2 linked regions of the Notamacropus eugenii genome follow. The protein of the gene in region 2 binds, or shares a complex with, the protein of the main gene of each other region. Links are inferred from orthologs where the notes say so. Each region holds a gene or a part of one and is shown on either strand. Other genes may lie near its edges.

Region 1 (10,411 bases), on a different chromosome or scaffold from region 2:
TTACCTCTCAATCTGGCTCAGGCCACACTCAGAAGGTTTGGGGCTGCAGGCAGCCGGTGTTGGATGCCTCTGCTCTAGGCAGCTAAGGTTACTGACTAAGTGCTGACAAGGTGCCAACCTGCATTGGTAAAGGGAGTTTCCTCATTTGGGTGTTCCCTCTATCAATAAAAACAGAACCAATCCCTAGCCTTATCCCTTTAGAGAGGCAACTGGGGCGGGGGGGGGGGGGGGGGGGGGTACTCTTATCAAGACAAAGAATCCAAAAGATGATAGAAAAAAAGTTTAATCCTATTTTCATGCTTGTACATGATTCTTCCTCTAAACAGACTGAAAGAATTTATCCTTTTAACATTTTCTTTTTTGTTGTCCTGAGACATAATTAAAAATTAAATGAAAAAGGAGCCCAGGCCTTCAAAACTGTTCTTCATTTACTAGTGCCTGATAAACATTCTCAATTTCCTCAAACTCATATCTAATGCAAACAAATGCCCATCCATCCACATCGTGCCATGAAGTTTGCAACACTTGCTGAAATGGTTGCTTCTCTAACTCCCACAACCAACAGCCGCTCAGCTGCCCTGTCGATCACGGATCACACTGACTCCGTCTCATCTTCCTCACACCATGGCTGGGTTGTCACTCACCTCTCACCCACATTCTTTAAAGGCTCCCCAATTCCTCATCCTTCTCGAACCCTGGTGGCCTCTGACACCACTGACCCACCCATCTTCTGGCCTGATGCTCAACCTCCCTAACTGTCCCATCATAGTCTCCTTCCTGAACCCACCCTTAACCCTGGGTCTTTTCCCAAGGCTCTATCCTAGGCCCTCCTTTTTTCTCTACATCACCCCTCACTGAGTCAACCGTGTCTCTGTGGATGACTCTCAACTTTATGCATCGGGCTACCGTCTTGCTCCCAAGCTCCATTTCACCAAACACCTACTAAATAAATCTGTCCACCTCCCACTGTCCACAATGGCTTCCCTTCCTTTTCATCACCCAGGTTCACAAGCCTGGAGTCATTCACAACTCCTGACTCTTCCTCACCCTCTCTGCCATTCAGTCTTCATGTCTATGTATAGTTATCACTATAGTGTCTCTGAGCGCTGGCCCCTTCTCTCCATTCACAGGCTCACTCCCTTAGCTCATCTCTCTACTGGACCCTTCCTTGGTCTGTTTTCAGTATCTCCTTGGTCTCATCCATACTCCAAAAATAACCAAAATAATCTTCCTAAAGCAGTCAGTCAGTCAATCAACAAGCACATATTAAGCACTCACTAAGGACATTCTAGCAGCAAACAGTTCCTGTCCTCAAGGAGCTTACATGGGATATCACAGGCAGTCATATCTAAGTATAGAATACTACAAAATGAGCAGAGGCTAGGTTTGGGAGGAAGGACAAGGGCAGAACCTGGGCTATGTCTTAAAGGAAGGGTGGCTTCTCCCAGGAGGAGAAGTCTGGACACTTTCACTGCCTTGGTCCACAAGCTTCCATGGTTTCCTGCTGCCCATTCCGGGCTGGCTCCTGCCAAATCTTTCCAAATGCTTTGCCACCAACGCTCTTCAGAGCGTACTGCAGGACAAACAGCTCCATCACCACTCCTCCAGGGGATGCCCCAAAGCTCCCATCACTTTATCCCCTTGCTTCCTTCCCAGCTCGGTTCAGGGACCTCTTTCTCCAGGAAGCCTCTCCTGATTCCTTCTCTCTTCTTTCTCCAATCACTGTGTATACATGTAACAGAACAAGGGAATTGTGGCAAGCACCTTCAGCACAGGAGCTGGTTTGTAATAAATGCGTTGACTCCCAAGGACTTTTATACACTTCTGGAGACCTTGTCACTAGTGGGCACTAAAGTGATAGAAGAGAGGGCCTGGATCCTCCCTGTCTGCTGGCTCCTCCCCACAGAGGGTCCCCACATCACCCAAGTCATCAGAGGCAGGCTGATCCTAATGACTGGACCCCAGGGCCAGCTTTCCATAGCCCCTTGGCCTCAGTCTGACACATCGAGTAGACAGAGAACACTGGGCCTGGAGAGACAAGCTTAGAAAGTGCCAGGGTTATCAGTTCTCTTAGCATATCCTTCATCTCATCTTTACTTTCTGTTCTATCAGGGCACAAAGAATCACAGCACATTGTGTGTAAATCTGACCTTAAAGGGATCACTTGGAGTCCACCAGAAGCTTGGAATTTAAAAGTGAGTCTCTACCAGTTGACAAATCAGTTAACACATTAATAGTAAAGCAGGAAATAACAGACAGTTGGATGTGGAGTCAAGACCTGAATTCAAATTCCACCTTAAACAGTAACCTACTGGGGGACTACCGGCAAAACACTTAACGCTCTAGGCTTCTGTTCCCTCATCTGATAAAGGAACTACACGGAAAGTCCTCAGATTTCCAGCCCTGGCCTCTCTCCTCACCTCCAAACTCAAATCTTACCAACTGGCTGTCTCCAAAAGTATGATTCACAGACAGCTTAAGCCAACAGGCCCCAGACTGACCTGGTGACCTTTCCACCAAAGCTCTCCTCTCTTCCTCACTTCCCTGTCACTGCTGAGGCTCCCATGGCATAGGCTCCACAAGCTCTCACTCTCTGGCCCCCCATATCCAGGGGTCAAGTCCTATTGCCTTTACCTTCCTAACATCCCTTGAACATGCCCGCTTCTCTCCTCTGACACTGCTCCATCCTGGCTCAGGCCCTCACTGTCTCACTCTTGGACAACTGGCCTCCCACACTCATCTGTCCCCACTCTAGTTCATCCTTCACTCAGGCTGTTAAAGTAGCCTTCTTGAAGTACAGGCCTGACCATGCCACCCCTCTCTATCCAGTCAATTCCAGGGGCTCTTCTCAGCTGAAGGATCAAATACAAAATGCTCCATTTGTTTGGCATTTAGAGCCCCCTCCTCCCTTGCCAGCTTTCCTACACCTCACTCCCCAACAGGTAGTCTGGGATCCAGTAACCATAAAAGCCTCCTGGCTGCTCCTCAAACAAGACCCTCCTTCCCTTGGCTCCAGGCATTCTCTCCAGCTGCTCCCCAGGCCTGGAAGGCTCTCCCTCCTCATCACCGCCTCCTTCATCCCTTCAAGTCCCTGCTAAATCCACCTTCTCCAAGAAGCCTCTGCGGGTCTCCGTTAATGCTAGGGATTTCCCACCAGTCACTGCTAATTATCTCCAATTTATCCTGTCTAGATCTTATCCATACCAAGTTGTCTCCAGCTTGTTTTTGCCATTAGACTGGGAGCTCCCTGAGAGCAGACACTGTCTTTGGCCTCTCTCTGAGTCATCAATGCTCAGCAAATCACAGGTGCATAGCAAATTCTTTCTGACTGCCCGACTGCTAAAACAAAACTCTGCAAAGCTTAAAAGCCTAATAAACGTGAACTAGAGACCATGGAAACTATGAAGTACAACTGTCTCATTTCATAAATGACCAAACTGAGGTCCAGGTTAGGTAAGTTGAGGGCCTGTCACAAGATCACACAGGTAAAGTAAAAGTAGAAGTTGAATGGTACAGTGCATAGAGAACTAGATCCAGAGTCAGAAAGCCCTGAGTTCAAATACAGTCTCACACCTTCTAGCCGTGTCAACCTGGGTAAGAAATTGCCTCAGTTTCCTCACCTGTAAAATGGAGGTAACAATAGGGCCTACCTCCATGGTTGTGAAAATAACATGACAGAACTATGTATTTATTATTTAAAAGTTTATGGAGCTGGAAGGGACCTTGGAGGCCAGCTAGTCCAATGTCTTAATTTACAGAGCAGGAAAGATGGGCCCAGTGTGTCAGGAGGCAGACTATCAAGTCAGGTCCCTCTGTTCTATTTCATTTGGAACAAAAATCTCCTCTAACAGAAGATGTTCTAGGTCCCAGAGATTTCCTTCCAACTCTTTCTCTCTGCAAAGTCCAGTATTAACCAAAGAAGCTGGACAGTTCCTTAGAGTTTGTTTCAATGAGATGACGCAAAGTCCTCTGAACTTTAGGAACAAGTACCTAATTAAATTTGCTATTTCCCCTTTAAGGGGTTCAGTGTAAAGTAAATGAAATTTAGAACCTGTCCTAAACTGGTGGCTGCTGGAGGGAGGGGGGTAAGGAGTCAGGGAAAAGGGAGAAATAGAGTAACATAAGATTTCTCACAATGGACATTTCTCCCAAGAACATCAGCACTAACTAACATGGTCATTTAGCTGGTCTCTCTATCCGAGGTAACTCACAATTCCAAAGGACTACTAGCTAAAATAGCCTGTACTGCAATGTGGTTCAATCTGATTGGTCATGGATTGATTAATTCAGTCAGTGACTACGCTATTAACAAACCATCTTCTTTTAGGTAGTGAGGAAAGAGAAGATGTTAGGAATGATCCAGTCGTTTCATTTAAAAAGGTAACTGTGGTTGCAGAGCTTTCAAGAACACGCTTTGTACAAATTTTTAACATGTCATCTCAATTCCCCTGCCAAAAACCGCCCACTTCTGTTAAGACTCTTAGTCATATCCAACTAAGCCACTGGGATATTATCTCTGCACAGTCCTAGAAAGGATTCCTTCATGTTACCAATCACTATTTTTCCCCCAAAATTTAAAGTGGTGTTTAAAATGTCTACCCGAGGTGTCTCAGAGTGTAGGAAGTCCATCCACTCATCTGTACGAGGGCAAATCAAACACCTAATGAGAAGTGAAGGGGAAAGAGCTGACTGGCGATGGGAGGTTCTCTACCTGTCCTACCACTGGGTTCCGGGAAGCCTGGTTGGCACACAAGCTGAACACTTGCAGAGAGGACATAAGAGAAGTATCTTCCACAGGTAAGGAAGGCAGTGTACTGGCACCGGACAAGAACATTAAAACGTCTTTCTCTGCTCTCACCCAAGTCCCGGGCACAGATGTCATTTGCTTTGAAAAGCCCACTGCCTCTGCATCACCATAATTTCAGAATCAAGGAATTCCAGAGAATTCCAAAGAACTTTCTTCCAAGTGACTGCAAAGCGTCCTAATGGCTGGTCCTAGATTCTTACATCCTCTTTGGAAAGCTTGAACCCTCTACAGTCAAGTCGGGGAGACTCGGGGTCAACTTTAAGAACCAGGCGGGACGCAGCCAGGAGGCAATCTCGGCCTCGGGTGACCTGTCATTCCTGGGCAGGCTGTGCCCGGGCCAGGGGGCCAGCCTGGGTCAGGAGAAGGTGGGGCCCTGCCCGAGGGCTGTCCAGCCACTCTGCCCCTGCCCAAAGGCTCTCCAGCCCGGCTGCCCCTGCCCGTGCCCCTGCCCAAAGGCTCTCCAGCCCCGCTGCCCCTGCCCGTGCCCCTGCCCAAAGGCTCTCCAGCCCGGCTGCCCCTGCCCGTGCCCCTGCCCAAAGGCTCTCCAGCCCCGCTGCCCCTGCCCGTGCCCCTGCCCAAAGGCTCTCCAGCCCCGCTGCCCCTGCCCGTGCCCCTGCCCAAGGGCTGTCCAGCCCCGCTGCCCAAGGCTGCCCCTGCCCAAGGGCTGTCCAGCCCCGCTGCCCCCTGCCCGCTGACCACTTCCCGCTGCCCACGCCCACGGCCGCCAGCACCCCGCGGCACGGCGCGGCCCCTCACCTTGCCCGTCTTGTGGTCGAACCAGACCAGTGCGTGGTTCCGGGACAGCACCTTGCAGTCGAAGGTGGCGTTGTTCTGGGCCGGCCGGCACCGGGCCACCGAGCGCCCGATCTTGATGGGCTCGTCCAGGTAGACATGGCGCTCCTGGAACGGGTGCGAGTTGGGGCGGCAAGTGAAGATGGCCAGGGCCGAAGGCATTGAGGACAGCTCGGGGAGCCCGCTCCAGCCAGGCCCGGGTCCGAAGAGGAGCTCGTCCTGAGCCACGCTGCCGAGCAGGCCGCGCCACGTGTGTCCTCCCACCCCAGCAGGCGGATCAGAGCGCAGACAGCATCGGCCCCGCACGCGCGTGGGGGTCGCCGCGGGTCACCACCGTGGGAGCGGTCCGGGCATGGCCGGGGGGCGCGTGGGGGGCGCCCCTCACTCCATCCCCCTGGGGCTCAGCACCCAGGGGCTCCAACCACATTGGAGGGGGCTTCCTGCATCCACCCGCGGCCGCTCCGGGAGTCACTCGGGGGGCGCCCGAGGGCACGCGAGCGGGGACCCGGTCTCGCGTGGGCACTGACGGCCCTGCCGCGCGGAGCGGGGTCCCCCCTTCCCGTGGGCCGGCCGAATCGTCCGTGGGCCGCCTCGGTTCCTCGCCCCAGCAGGGATCGCGCTAGCGGGGGCCGCGCATCGCGCGCCGGGGGCGGCCCCGGGCTGGGCTCCCGCGTGTCCGCGGCGGCGCGTGGGGGGTCGGTCGCCGCTCCTCTGGGCTCTCTCGCCGCCTCGAGCGCTGGCCTGCGGGGCCCTCTCCGGCCGCCCGCCCCGGCTCACGCGGCGCCGCCGCCAAACTTTCCGACCTGCGGGCGACAAGAACCGTGACCGGCCGCCGTCAGGCGCCGCCCGCCCTCCCGGCCCGTCAGGCGCCCCCCGCCGCCCCGCCGGCCCTCCCCGCCCCACCCGCGGCCCCGACCCCGGCCCCGGCCCCGGCCCCGGCCGCCATAGTGACTCTGACGGAGACCTACCAGCGGGACGGACGGACGGCCGGCCGCGGGAGCGCGCACCCTGCACTAGCCCGCCCGCCCGGCCCCTCTCCCGCGCCGTACTCCCAGGCCCACGTGACCGACGCCGCGGGGGCCCTATTGGGTGTGGGCAAAAAGAGGCCGGGGCGGGGCGCGGGGCGGGCTGCTCCGGGAGCCGTCCTGGCGGGGGTGGGGCTCTCCGAGAGGCGCGGGCCGCCATGTTGCTTAAGGGCAGCGAAGGCTGGGGAGTGGGGAGTGGCCTACGGGCCGGGGCCTAGCGTGGCGGCGGGCGCCTCGGGCCTCGTCCTCATGAAGAGACGTTGTCTGACAGTGGGGAGGTGAACCTGCGCTCGGGGGACTCGCCGCGATGCTTCTCTGGGACGAGAAGCCTCCCCCCCAGGGGCAAAGCGCATTGGCAGACATCTTAGCTGTGGGCAAGCACCTCTCGCGATGCTTGAGGAAGTCGTGCAAAGCGAAGTCGAAATCCGAGGCGGGGGAGGCGCCAATACCAGTCCCAAAGGACAGATGCTTACTAGCCCCGAAGCTCGGCCCTAGTGACTGAGCATGCGCATTTCGGCCTTATCGTCTCGTTACTCCCCTGCCCTTGACCCCTCCCCCTCCCTCCTTCCCAGCTCTGACGTAAGCCCCTGTGACTGGGCGCGCTGTGGCTTAACACCTTCCCCTCCTCCTCCTGCCGTCCCTCGCCTCCATACCACCTAAGACCGTGAGTTCAAATCCAGCTGCTGCCCTTTAGTAATTTTATGCCCTTCCTCCAATTTATCATATACATTTATGTATAACGAATATAAATATATATGGATAAATATATGGTAAAATGGAACGAGGTCATAAAATGTATACGTGTATATATATTAGATCTATACATTAGATATAAGATATAATAGAAATATACTATTTATATGTCACAATAGATATATAATATGATATATATCTATCTGCACACATATATACAAATTCTATCCATCTACACATATGTAGGAGTACACATGTAGGAATACACATATGTAGGAGTATGGAGTATGTGCCCTCCTACATATGTGTAGATCGGTAAGCTCCCTTAGGGCAACACTTACATTTGCCTCTCTGAGTCTCCCGGACCTAGCACCTGGCCTAGAACACAGTAAGTACTCCATACATGTTATTACTATTGCTCGGGCAGGTCATTTTCCCTCTCTGGGCCTCAGCTACCTCCTCTGAAAGGAGTTAAGTGGACTGGATGAGTTCCAAGGTCCCTTCCAACTGTAAACCAATGGCTATTAGTAGAGAGAGACTTAGAGATTAAGAAAGCCAACCTCCTGTCTGCTCTTCCTTACCCTTGTCCCCATTCCCATTTTACAAACAGGAAAAGAAGGTCCAGAGACTATAGATTTTATAAAATACACTGTAATAAAAACTATAAAAGTTTATTATCATTGAAGTCCCAACAGGTGGACTCCCAGGTGAACTCCATAAGAAGTCTAAAAAATCATAAAGAAAATCACCTCTAAGTGAGAAGGAAAAAGGTTTGGGAGAGAGGCAGGGGCTGGAAAAGGTGAGTTTTCTCCTTCCCTACTATTTTTGTTTCTGTGATCTCAGGATACAAGCTTTGGATCTGGAAGCAGAAGTTGTTGTTCAGTGGTGTCCAACTCTGTAAATCCCCTGTGGGATTTTCTTGGCAAAGATCCTGGAGTACTTCACCATTTCCTTCTCCAGCTCATTTTACAGATGAGAAAGCTGAGGCAAACAGGGTTATGTCGGTTGCCCAGGGTCACACAGCTAGGAAGTGTCTGAGGCTGGACCCAGGAAGATGAGTCTTTCTGACTCCAGGCCAGGTAATCTATTGGCCACTACCACTTAGCTGACCTCATTTTCCTGATGAGGAAACTGAGGCCCCAAAGATGAAAGGACTTACCCAAGGTCATGCAGATGGTAAGAGTTCAAAGAGGGATTTGATGTAATGGAATACTATTGTGCTATAAGAAATGATGAACAGGAAGACTTCAGAGAGGTCTGGAAAGACTTATATGATCTGATGCTGAGTGAAAGGAGCAGAACCAGGAGAACTTTGTACACAGCAACAACCGCAGTGTGTACGGGAAATTTTTCAGGTAGACTTAGTACTTCATTGCAGTGCAAGGACTTAAAAAATTCCCAATGAACTCTTGAAGCAAAATGCCTTCCACATCCAGAGAAAGAACTGTAGAATTGGATCGCAGAAAGAAGCAGATCATTTTCTTTAGTATTATGTTTTGTTTTGTTTTATGGTTTCTCCCATTCATTTGAATTCTTCTATTTAACATGATTAAGGTGAAAATGTATTTAATAGGAATGTATGTGTAGAACCTATATAAGATTAAAGGCAGTGTCAGGGAGGGAGTGAGAAGGGAGGAGAAAAAAATCTAGGACACTGAAAATAAATAAAATAATTTAATTAAAAAAAAAAAAGATGGATTTGAATCCAGGCCCTCTGGGGTATTTCCAATGTAGGCCCCCACAACCTTCTTTTTTGTACTTGTTAACACTCTATTATCTTCCTTCTGGCTAGAAAGGACTTTCCCTTCTAGTAAGACACATCTTCTCATATGGTTGGGTCTTCAAATGCCCAGAAACTGCTGGAAGATGTAGTTCTCAACAGGAGAAGGAAACCAGAGCTACTAGTTACAACCACAGTTGCATTGCCAACACCACATAATTATACATTTAAATACCTTATACTAAGGGGCAGCTGGGTGGTACAGTGGATACAACACCAGAGTCAGGAAGACCTGAGTTCAAATATGGCCTCAGATACTTACTGTGTGACCTTGGGCAAGTCACAACTCTGTGGGTCTCAGTTTCCTCATCTGTAAAGTGAGCTGAAGAAGGAAATGGCTAACATCATTCCAAAATCTTTGACCAAGAAAACCCAAATGGTATCACAAAGAATCAGACCTGACTGAAACAACTTTGTTTGGTTTGAGGTTTTTTGTTTTTGGGGGCTTTTTTTGTTTGTTTTTTTTAATAAAGAGAATAATTGCAAAATTGTTTGGAAGTTGCTTTCTATTCAACAAATCCCTTAAAGCCTCACTTCAATCCTGACTCCCCAAAAGGCTGGACCTGCTGACACAATCCAAGGAGGCCATTTAAGGGATTCCACATTTATATGTATGCACCAAAAAAATGACTTAGAAAAGTCCATAATCTTTTGAAGGTCTTTCACCACACCTTAATCAAACAAACCTCAATAAGCATGACAGGCAGAGAATCTCAGACCTACTGTTTTAGGCAAAGTGATGAAGTAGAAGGAGTTTTGGCCTAGGATTCAGAAGGCCTGGCTGCCATTGTGAGTTCCTCATTACACTAAGAGCTCCTGGAAAACAAGGACTCTTTTTGCCTTTCTCTGTATCCAAAGTACCTAGCACAGTGCCTAGCACATAGTAGGTGCTTAATGAATGCTTGTTGACTTGGCACTTAGCAGTGTCTGCAATCCTGCCCAAGTAAATCCACATCTCTGAGAATCAGTTTCCTTCTCTGTAAAATGGAGATGAGACAATGTATATCTCACAAGGGTTCTGGGTAGAACACCGTGTACATTGTAAGGCACTACATACATTACATCAAGGTCTCTGGACATTCCTTTGCCTAACTGTAGATAAATGCACAATTGTAATTGTCCAAAAACAACTCCACACAATTTGAGAAACAGTGAGAGTTATAAAGTAGCTTTCTTTTCCGTGGCAGGATGTCAGTTTTACCACTTCTTGAACCCAAATCACGGCACTTTCAGTCTTGGAAGAACAGGCATTTGCAACATTCTTATTAAAAAAAAAAAAAACCACCAGTGTGAAAGACCAGCAAATAATTCTAA
Region 2 (10,411 bases):
TTCTATGTAAAACCTTTCCTGATCCTCTCAACTGTTAGTACCCTCAGTCCCTAAACTACCTTATGTTATTTTGGATCCATTCTATATACACATATGTATACTTGTTTGTTCTGTTGCATGAATTCTTTTAGGATCTTAACTAGCCCCTGGCAATAAAACAGCAAAGGAAACAGACATAGGAAAAACTGCAATTTATTTACTCCGAGAAAGACTCACTCCAGCAATAGATGATGAACACGTATGTTTGTTACAACTCAACTAACGATACTTATACCAGTCTATCATTCATGTAATACGTGAGACAATGTTCTGCTTATTACAGAACAGGGTTGTTCAGAACATAGAAGAAGAAGAAGTATTTGTTATAACAAAAGAAGACGTTAATCACTTATTAGAAAAGGAGGAATGTGCCCTTGTTAGCATAGCTATTCACAACAGATCAAAGGGAACCCTACATCACCTGCCAGACAAATCAAGGCTATTGGAGTCCTTCTTTGCAAAAGCAAACAAACAAAAATCCTTTTATAGTAACTAAAGTCTGACATTCAATTAAAGGAGACATTCAAGGAAGTCTAGCAATATTACACACTAAGGCAATACATGGTAAAATGGTGATTACAGATTGGAGTTAATTATGTCAGCTCCGGAAAGACCAGTTAGTTCCCCCAAAATTCACTTTTGACACTCCTGATAGAATGTAAATTGAAAGCAGTAACTTAGTCCAATTTTTGTTCAGTCATTTTTTTTTTAGCCATGCCCAACTCTTCATGACCCCATTTGGAGTTTTCTTGGCAGAGATACTGAAGTGATTTGCCATTTCCTTTACAGATGAGGAAACTGAGGCAAACGGGGTTAAGTGACTTGCCCAGTGGCACACAGCTAGTAAGTGTCTGAGGCCAGATTTGAACTTAAGAAGATGAGTTTTCCTGACTCCAGTCTCCACACTCTATCCATTGCACCATCTAGGTAGTCAGCACAGAATCTAGTACTTTTAAAAATGTTTGTTGATTGATTGATGTGTGCAGACAGAGTTAACTTCTTCTCTTCTTGACTCTTCTAGAACCCCAAACTTTTCTAGGATGATGTCAAATAAGAGTAGGGATAGAAGATAAGTTCATTTGAGTTCTGTATTTATTAGGCCAGTTTCTAGTGCTTCCCCATGGCAAAAAAAGGCTGACTTTCAGATTAACATACATACTTTTTTTCATAATAAAAAGTGGCCCTTCTATACCAATACTTTAAATGTATTTTTTAAATTTAAATGAATGTTTTACTTTGTTAAAGGTTTTGTCCACACCTATTTCTATAATGATATAGCTTTTATGGGAACAGATTTTGGACCACACATGCAATTTCATTAGTATATGGAAGACCTCATGAGGAAAATCCCTCTCTGAATTCAGATCATCATCTGGTCTGCAACCTAGAGTATAAGAGAGCTAAAGGTTAAGTGTCTTGCCCAAGGTTGCATGTCCCATCACATGTCAGAGACAAGACTTCCACTCAGGTTTTCCCGATTTTGAAGGTCTTCTTGAGTCTGAATCATGCTGCCTTTCTTTGTTTTTCAATATAATTAATATTTTTTCTTTTTCTAATTTTGAACCATCTTAGCATCCCTGGCATAAAGTCAATTGTTTCATAGTAAATAGTTTTTTGTCTATGTTGCTATCGTCTTTTGGCTGGAATTTACTTTAGTTTTAATAAATATTCATTAGTCATATTAGTCTATAGCTCTCTTTCTTTGCTTTATCCTTTATGGTTTAGGATCAGAATTTGATAAGTTTGCTTAATTTTTGAGAATAATTTATGTATCATGGACATTCTTTCTTTTTTTGTTTGATGAAATTTACCTTGGCCAAAGTGTTTCTTTATAGAAAATAGATAGGTGGGGAAAGACAGACAGACAGACAGACAGACAGAGAAAGTTTGATAGTTCCTTTATGCCTTTTTCAATTTCATTTCCTACGATTGGGTTGTTTAAGATTTCTATTTGAAGTTCAGTTAATTCAAGTATTTTATGTTTTAATAGATAATCTATTTCATTTAAAGTCTCTTGTCTTTGATAGTATATAATTGTGTGAAGTGATTCTGATTATATTTTTTTTAAATTCTGCTCTGTTATAATTTCACTTTACTTGATTTTTTTATTCTGATCATTTTATTTCCCTCCCTCTTTTTTTTGATAACTAGGAAAATAACCTTAGCTAAAGGTTTGTTGATTGTATATTTTCAATGGTGCTATTTTTAGGTTTATCATCTTTGTTTTCCACTTTCTCTTTCAATATTTACTCTTTTTTTGCTTTTTTTGTGTTTATTGTTGATTTTCTAGTTTCTAAATGCACATTGTCTTTCTCTTTCTGTCTCTATTTATCTGTCTCTCTCTCCCTTCTTCCAGAATGATGGAGAGGCAGGAAGGGGGAGCTGTTGGGCTGCATGGACAGAGGAACACTCAAGAAATGACTCTCAAAGGTGACACTTGAACATTATTTTTTACCTTATCTACTTATTTTTTTTCTCCAATTCTTCTTTCCTTCTGTTCTCTATGATTCCTTTGGACTTTCTGTCCCTCTTTTCATCACAACTCATCACCAGCAAAACATGGTCTTTCAAGCAATCACCAAAGACTCTAGAGCATGAGTGGGATATCTCTGTTTTATGGACTAAATTTGACCTTCAGCTTAATTTTGTCCGGCCTCCTGGACACAAAGAGATCATTCCACCTATACCTGGTGACATAGTGGTTGCATTCATAGTTAGTAAAAGAAATAAAAGAAGTGTTCATTCTTTCTTCCTCCTTTAGGAGGTACAAAGAAATTCCTGATCAATGTTAGGGGTTATAGAGAGACTCAGACACACCCCTTCCATTGAATGAATAAATAATTGACTTGTCAGCATGTGTGTGGTGCCTTGTTTGTTGTTTTGCCCAAGAAGATTATATGTGCCTACATGGGTCCATAAAGATGTAGTTCATAGATAATCAAGAATAGGTATCTCTAATCTCCCCTGCCCCACTCCTTAAGCTCTTCTCTAAGGAAGACTTTGAATCTTCCTCAGGGAGAAGAAACAGGAGATTAGGGCCTGAGACCCGCCACTCTGGTCTCCTCAAAGAAAGAACACTGGGATAGAACCATATTTTTCTGTTCCTCTAAATATTGTTAGTCTAAAGGGGATATATTTTAGGTTCAAGCTCCTGATTGTTCTCTTAATAGACGAGTGTTCCAAAGCTCTGTATCCAAGATTTGACTCCCTTGCCAACAAATATCAGTTCCACAAGGAGCAAATAAACCCATTTACCTGAGTCTATAACAAAAGAGAAATCAGAAAAAAATATTCACAGGAGAAAACATACCAGACAATACAGAGTAAATGAACTCTCCCAATGGGAGCGAAAAATCTCAGCTCAACTTAAAGAGTCTCAGATCTCACCCTAAGGGAAATTCCCTGAAATCCCTAGTGTATTAAGTTGAGGATAGGAACATAATAGAGAGTGCCAGCTCTGCAATATGTTGGTTGCTTTCCAGAGTCTTTCACTCGCTTCAGGGATCTGAAGGGAGTTTAGAACAAATCTGGAAGCCAGAAGACCAGGATCTTTCCCTTCTCAGACTCCCACCAATCCCTCCCCTCAAGCAGGCATGAACCACTGTGTAATCAATTTTCACTAATGAGAGGACCCTTTGAGTCACAGGTTTTTAGAATGAATAAATGAAAAAGCATTTATGTAAAATGAAAAAGCACTTACTATGTTCAAAGTTCTTTCCTAAGCTTTGGGGATAAAAATAGAAAAGGAGCTCACATTCTAAAGGGGGAAAGGACAGTACATATGGGAAGTTTCAGCTACAAGTCAAATGGAAAAGCATGGTAGGTTCTTAGGGTACAGGAACATGGCAAATGATAAGGAATCTCCTTTAGTGTCCTTTTCATTGATAAAACCATATCTGTTCCTAATTTTTTAAAGACATTTATTCACCATCATGATCGGACTATTACATTTAGCAATCAATAATATGCAAACAAAAAAAGATCTACATTAAAACCCTTTGTGGGAATACTTTCCACAGAACAGAGACTAAAATAACCTGTTATGTAATTAAGTCACAAATGCAGTCCTGCAAATAGCAGAAACAGAACTAGGGATCCAAATTCGTAGAAATTCTCAAAATGTGTGTATACACACAGATATGCTGTATAGTATCATACATTTTTGGATAACAGGAATCTAAGATGCTTTGATTTGTAATGCATGGACCCATTGGCTAGCAGCGTTTCTAAAATTATAACAGCGGTCTCCAACCTACTTTGGGTCATGGACCCCTTTGTCAGTCTGATGAAACCTATGGAGCCTTTTCTCTGAATGTTTTCAAATGCAAAAAACAAAATACATATAATTACAAAGAAAACCATTTATATTGAAATAAAAAGGTAATTTTTTTCCCATCCAACTTCAAAATCTATTCACAGACAAGTTCCATGGATCTCAAATTATGAACTCATGCTCTACAATAATAACAGTAAGCAGTAAACCTCTATGGTTTGCAAAGGGCTTTACATATACTATCCCATTTGATTCCCATAATGACCCCGTGAGGTCAGTGTTGTAGCAAAATAAAAGTAATTTGGGCAAGAATGTATACATATATATGTATACACACACACACACATATACACACATATACACGTACACATATACACACACACACATATATACACATATGGATGTATATATATATATATATATATATATATATATAGAAAGAGAAATACACATCTGGCTAAAGTAGCAAAGGCTGAATAGGGACACTACTACTATGCTTTACACCCAGTAAGGCCTTTAACAATCACAAGAAAGAATGTGAAAGCATGATATCCTTTTCGCAATGAAGAAACTGAAGCTGAGAGGGTTAAGTGACTAGTCCCGGGCGCCGGACAGAAAGCCCGCCCCCCGCCCTACGTAGTTGGCCCCGCCCCCGCTCCTGACAGCGAGGGGCGGTTCTTAGGAGACGCAGGTCAGCGCCCGGGCAGGAGCGCCGTGCGCAAGCGCAAGGCCGAGGCCCTCGGTCTGCGGAGCCAAGGGAAGACTCTCCCGAGGCTGTCGGAAGCGGCGCGGGTGTTTTTCGCTTACGGAAGTGAAGTCAGCGGCAGTGGGCGGAAGACCCGGAACCGGCGGCGGCGTAGGCATCGGTGAGTGGCGTGGCTGCGGGGCCGCCTTGGCCCGGTTCTCCGCTATGAGCTGCACGATCGAGAAGATCCTGACGGACGCCAAGACGCTTCTGGAGCGGCTGCGGGAGCACGACGCGGCCGCCGAGTCCCTGGTGGATCAGTCGGCCGCCCTGCACCGGCGGGTGGCTGCGATGAGGGAGGCGGGCGCCGCGCTGCCGGACCAGGTCAGCCCTAGGCCCGGGGGCCGGGCGGGAGGTGGGGGGTCCTCCCTGCCCGGATGGGCCGGACTCCTTCCGCTCTAGCCTGACTTGGGCGGGGGTTGGTCTGTCTGTTTACCAGTACCAGGAGGATGCCGCGGACCTGAAGGACGCGTCCAGATACAAGCCTCACATCCTGCTGTCCCAGGAGAACACGCAGATCCGAGACCTGCAGCAGGAGAACCGAGGTGAGCGCAGCAGCCTTTCTCCCCCAAATGCCACGCTTTCGAACCCACAGTTTAGGCCAGCTTATTCCCCACGCAGGCCACGAACGGGAGTACAGTGCAGCACCTCCCAACTGGTGAGTTTAATAAGCAAGTCTGTTGCTAAATAACAGTCTTCGTAGAAAATAGGAACAGTCAATAGATGATCCTTTTCAGTATTGTAGGTAATGGAGAAGTCTTAATTTAGTAAGTACTGTTCAAGGGTGTTTTTTAACCCGTTATTACGAATGTGAATATGATCTTATTGAACAAATATGAGTTGTTTCTGCGAAGGACAGTACTTTCAGATGAATTCAGTTCACTATTCTAAAGCAGTGACTTCCTACTTCTTGGTGAAATCCTTAAAATGTTATTCAACTTTACTTAAATTTAAATGTGTGTATGTGTATCTATAGGTGTATATACATACATACATGTGTATATAAACATAGATATACCATAGAGTATCATAAATTTTTGTTGAAGAGGAATCTAAAGTGCTTTGATTAGTAATGTATGGAACATTAGCTAAAATTATAGGCACCATTAGTCGGGGTAAATATGCTGTTAAGTTTTTCAGTCTCCGATGGGGTGGAGATTCTTCACTGTCTCAGATATCACTGCCAATTTATTTTACTTATTCTTTGATAGAGTTGTGGATTTCCTTGGAGGAACACCAGGATGCTTTGGAACTCATCATGAGCAAGTACAGAAAACAGATGCTACAATTAATGATTGCTAAAAAAGCAGTGGATGCTGAACCTGTCTTGAAAGCCCACCAGTCTCATTCTTTAGTAAGAAGTTTCACAATAAATATCTGTTAAATTGAATTGAATCTAGAAATTGTTTTTATAAATTTCTTGCCCTATAGAGAGCTTTCTTAAGGAGTTTAACTCAGAAAGAGAAATATAAAGGATAAGAACTGGCAGGGATAGTAGGATTTTTTTTTCCTCAAGAAAAGTTATCTTTCTTTTTATGTTTATCACTTTATTGTTAATGTTTTAATAATATCCTTGCTCTGAGGCCTGTGTTTGCTATGATTTTATACCATAAAAGAGTGGTAAATATGAAAGAGAAGAATCAATAGCGGAAATAATTGCATTCTTATGGACTGTTTATGGAGGTCAGAGCTGTGTATTTACTTTACCCTGAATGATATCAAGTGTTTGTAAGACCTTTCACTGTAGTCATTCAAAAAGCTTTTTTTTTTTTTTTTTTAAGCTCTTACAGAGTATACAGTATTTGACCAGGTGGGAAGTACTCAGTGAATCCTTAATGACTCAGGGAGGAGAGAGTGGAAGAAATACAGCTTCTATTCAAGTACTTGAGGAATTTGTCATTTAGCTGGAGAAAGCCAATACATAGGAACTTGAAGAGCATTTGCTATAGATTACAGTATAGTGTGAGACAGAGACAGACCCCTTCAAGACAAGAAGGGTTAGAAAGATATGGGCATGTAGATATGGAAAGGTCCAGCCATTGATTAGATAGGTGAGATATTGATTAACTGGGATGATGTTACTCAGTCTTCTCATAAGCATTTTACTTTTTGTTTTGTTTGTTATTCTTCCTACAGGCAGTGCAGAATTAATATACTTAATATCTTAACAGGAAATTGAAAGTCAGATTGATAGAATCTGTGAAATGGGAGAAGTGATGAGGAAAGCTGTTCAGGTGGATGACGACCAGTTTTGCAAGATTCAGGAAAAACTAGCCCAACTGGAGGTAAGAATATTGTTTTTGCTATCAGAAAAGTATATCTTTCAGTCATAGCACCTTAATGATGATGTCTCAGCAGATGACTCTCAAATCTGTGTATGCAACCCTAATCTCTCTCTTGAACTCTGGTCCTATACTGCTAACTGCCTGGTGTCCCGTAGGCATTTTAAACTCAACATGTCCAACTATCTTTCCCCAAAAATCTATTCCTCCTTCATACTACTTTGGTTTCTTTTGAGGGCACTACCATCCTTATGGGCTGTAGTCTCAGTTTTGGAGAAAATGACTTGACTTCCACGAACAAATCCAGTGACTTGTCAAGTCTTGCTGTTTCCCCCTCCTCTTCACTGTCTCCTCCCTGTCAGTTAACAAGGATTCACTGAGTGCTTCCTAAGGCCAAACACTGTAGTAACATCTCTTTCATCTGTTCTCTTTTTTTCTCCTTCCTGTTCTACCCTCGTTCAGGATTTTATATGCTCTGATAGACTATTACAGTTGCCCTCTAACTGATACCCCTACCTGCAGATACATCCTCTAATCCGTTTTCCACATACCCCTTACTCAAAACTCTCTGATGGCCCCCTGTTTCCTCTATAAAACACATTTAAAGAATGCTACAACTAGCACCCACCTACCATTCCAGTTTTATTTCATAGGATTTCTCTTACCATACTTTCTTTAGTTGTTCACTGTATTGATATTCCAACTCTTGCAAGTGCAAGTGATCCCCTCCTATCTGGAATACCTTCCTTCCTCATCTTCATCTTATTCCCTAGCTTCTATCAGAGCTCACACTGCTACCTTCACGAGGCTTTTTCTAATCACATTAGTTATTGGCATTCTCTCTTGAAACTGCTTTGTATTTTCTTGTACTAATTTTGGATCTCTAGTGGAATGTCCCTCAACAGCAAGAATTGTTTCCTTTTATCTTTGTGTCATGTGTATCTTCTGTATATTAGGCATCTTAATAAATGTTTTGTTGAAATGACTTAAATTGAATGATTTTAAGATTAAAACATTCCCCTTCCTCCCTGCAGGTCGGAGCTGTACAGTTACTTTACTTTTTGTTTCCCTGAGACCTTTTGTTATATTCATTCAATAAGCATTTTCTTTTTCTATATCCTACAGAATGTTCAGTGTTGGACACATGGAAGGTTTTCAGTAAATCCTGATTACAAGGATAGAGGAGTGTAGAAGAAATAAAATGTACTGTTTTTAATTTTGAGGAATTGATAATTTTAGCTAGTGAAAGCTAATAACACTGGTACTTCAGGATAAACACTATTTTTATGGAGCAAAATATAGTAATATAGTATAAAATAGTTCCTTTCAAGGGAATTATTTTTTGCAGGTAAAAAATAAGTTTCAAATATGTCATCTTAACTAAACATGAAAATAACTTACCCTAGAAATAGGAAAATTAAAAATAATTTAATAGTGCCTTTTTATTTTTCTTTTAAAAATACATTTTATTGATGTCCTTATTTCTCAACATATTCCTTTTCCTCCCTCACTCAAGCAATCTTCATGACAATTTTTTTAAGGAGAAAAAATGTTTAGCAAAACTAACCAACTTATTAAAAACTGTTTGACATTTTATATATAGTGTTCTACATCCACTGTCTCCCAACTTGGCAAAGAACTTATGCTTTGGGGCTAGGATAAATTGTAATTTGGCAACATTCAAAATTTTGTTTTTGTTCTTTAAATTTTTTTTAAAATTCTGAACTTAAACTCACCCCATTTGAAAAAATTTATTATATGTGGCAGAACAGAAAAAAAGGATGACCCAATTTCATACCATTTGCTTTTTCAAATAGCATGTAACAAATTCCATACCATACTTTCAATTGGGTCCTGTTTATCTGTCCTTTCTTTGGAATTTCCATTTTCAACCACTTGGTAAATCTGTTCAACTCTACATTCAAATCCTTGCCACACCTTTCTTCTCCCTCCCCAATTCCCATCACTGACCATACCCTGCTAAACTACAACTTTGTGTATTGCTTCCACCACCTTCTTCACTTTTGTTCATGTGCTGCTGAATGGAGCTAGAAAAGAATCACAAAATTATGCTTAGTCCACTACAAACATATGTTATAGATTCTCAACTGTCTCCTCTGCAGCAGGACCATCCTTTTGCACCTCCCTAATTGATTCATTCTGTCACTCACCACCATGGCTTTTCCAAATGTTTTCATCCTTCCTGAGACGTCCCATAGTACCCATTTCCCCTTTTCTATGCTGAGAACATTGTCTTATATTTCTCCAAAAAAACTAAAGCCACCCACTCAGAGCTACTTCTTGCCTCCTCACATCACTCAATTGTCTTCTTCCTTTTTCATATTTCTTGAATGAAGAGGTGGTCCTTCTTGCCAGGACAAATCCCTTTATATATACCCTTGATGCCATCTTATCTTCCTCAGTAGACTGCTTCCCTTGATAGCTCCACTTTCTAATCTTTAACCTTTCCCTATTTACTGGCCCTGCTGCCTACAAACATGTCCACATCTTTTGTATTCTTAAAAAAAAAACTTCACTCAGTTCTACCATCCCTGCGCTAGCTGTCATCTTACATATTTTTCTCTTTCTGGACTAAACTTGAGAAAGCTATTTACAGAAGCACAGCCAAGATGGTGGAATAGAGAGAGCATTCCAGCAGAACTCTCCCAACAACTTGAAAATAATGCATAAAATCAAATTCTGGAGAGGTGTAACCAACAAAAGGTCAGAGTGAGGCATTTTTCCGCCCCAAACTACTTAGTAGTCAGACAGAGATCTGTGACACTGCGGTGAGGATGGACCATGATAGCACAGCACACAGTAGCAGCAGCAGCAGTTCTAGGAGCTTTTCCCACCCACAGACAGGAAGAGGAGTGGATAATCAGATTACAGGGAACCCTTGTGTGGGCACTGTGCAGAATTAGAGGCTGTTTGGCAATTCCATTGGCCATTACCTATTTCTGGGCCAAGTTTTAAGGGTGCAGAGGCCCTTGTTGTAGTTCCAGGACAGAGAGGAGTGCTGAGGGCTTGCTGCTGTAAGGAAATGAGTCCTTGCTGGGTAAGGACCCAAGT

What was found.
Region 1: the proteins of SIKE1 (region 2) and SLMAP are in contact, whole or in part, in a crystal structure (PDB 6AKM), measured with the Homo sapiens proteins. The link is inferred for Notamacropus eugenii from reciprocal best matches to the Homo sapiens genes SIKE1 and SLMAP. Residues at the interface, in NP_079349.2 of Homo sapiens: Ile5, Ile8, Leu9, Ala12, Lys13, Leu16, Leu19, Arg20, His22, Asp23, Ala26, Glu27, Leu29, Val30, Ser33, Ala34, Leu36, His37, Val40, Met43, Arg44; in NP_001291349.1 of Homo sapiens: Leu168, Tyr171, Leu172, Glu174, Ala175, Arg178, Glu179, Met181, Leu182, Lys185, Thr188, Leu189, Leu192, Leu193, Ile195, Thr196, Ala199, Ser200, Thr202, Ser203.

What each region holds. Positions count from the first base shown.
Region 1 is NC_092874.1:467,539,255-467,549,665, forward strand, and holds the start of SLMAP (sarcolemmal membrane-associated protein), read right to left. Parts: upstream 6,156-10,411; 5' UTR 5,762-6,155; coding exon 5,564-5,761; intron 1-5,563. UniProt on the Homo sapiens protein: Associates with the striatin-interacting phosphatase and kinase (STRIPAK) core complex, forming the extended (SIKE1:SLMAP)STRIPAK complex.
Region 2 is NC_092873.1:294,105,835-294,116,245, reverse strand, and holds the start of SIKE1 (suppressor of IKBKE 1), read left to right. Parts: upstream 1-5,036; 5' UTR 5,037-5,222; coding exon 5,223-5,381; intron 5,382-5,496; coding exon 5,497-5,602; intron 5,603-6,268; coding exon 6,269-6,411; intron 6,412-7,228; coding exon 7,229-7,342; intron 7,343-10,411.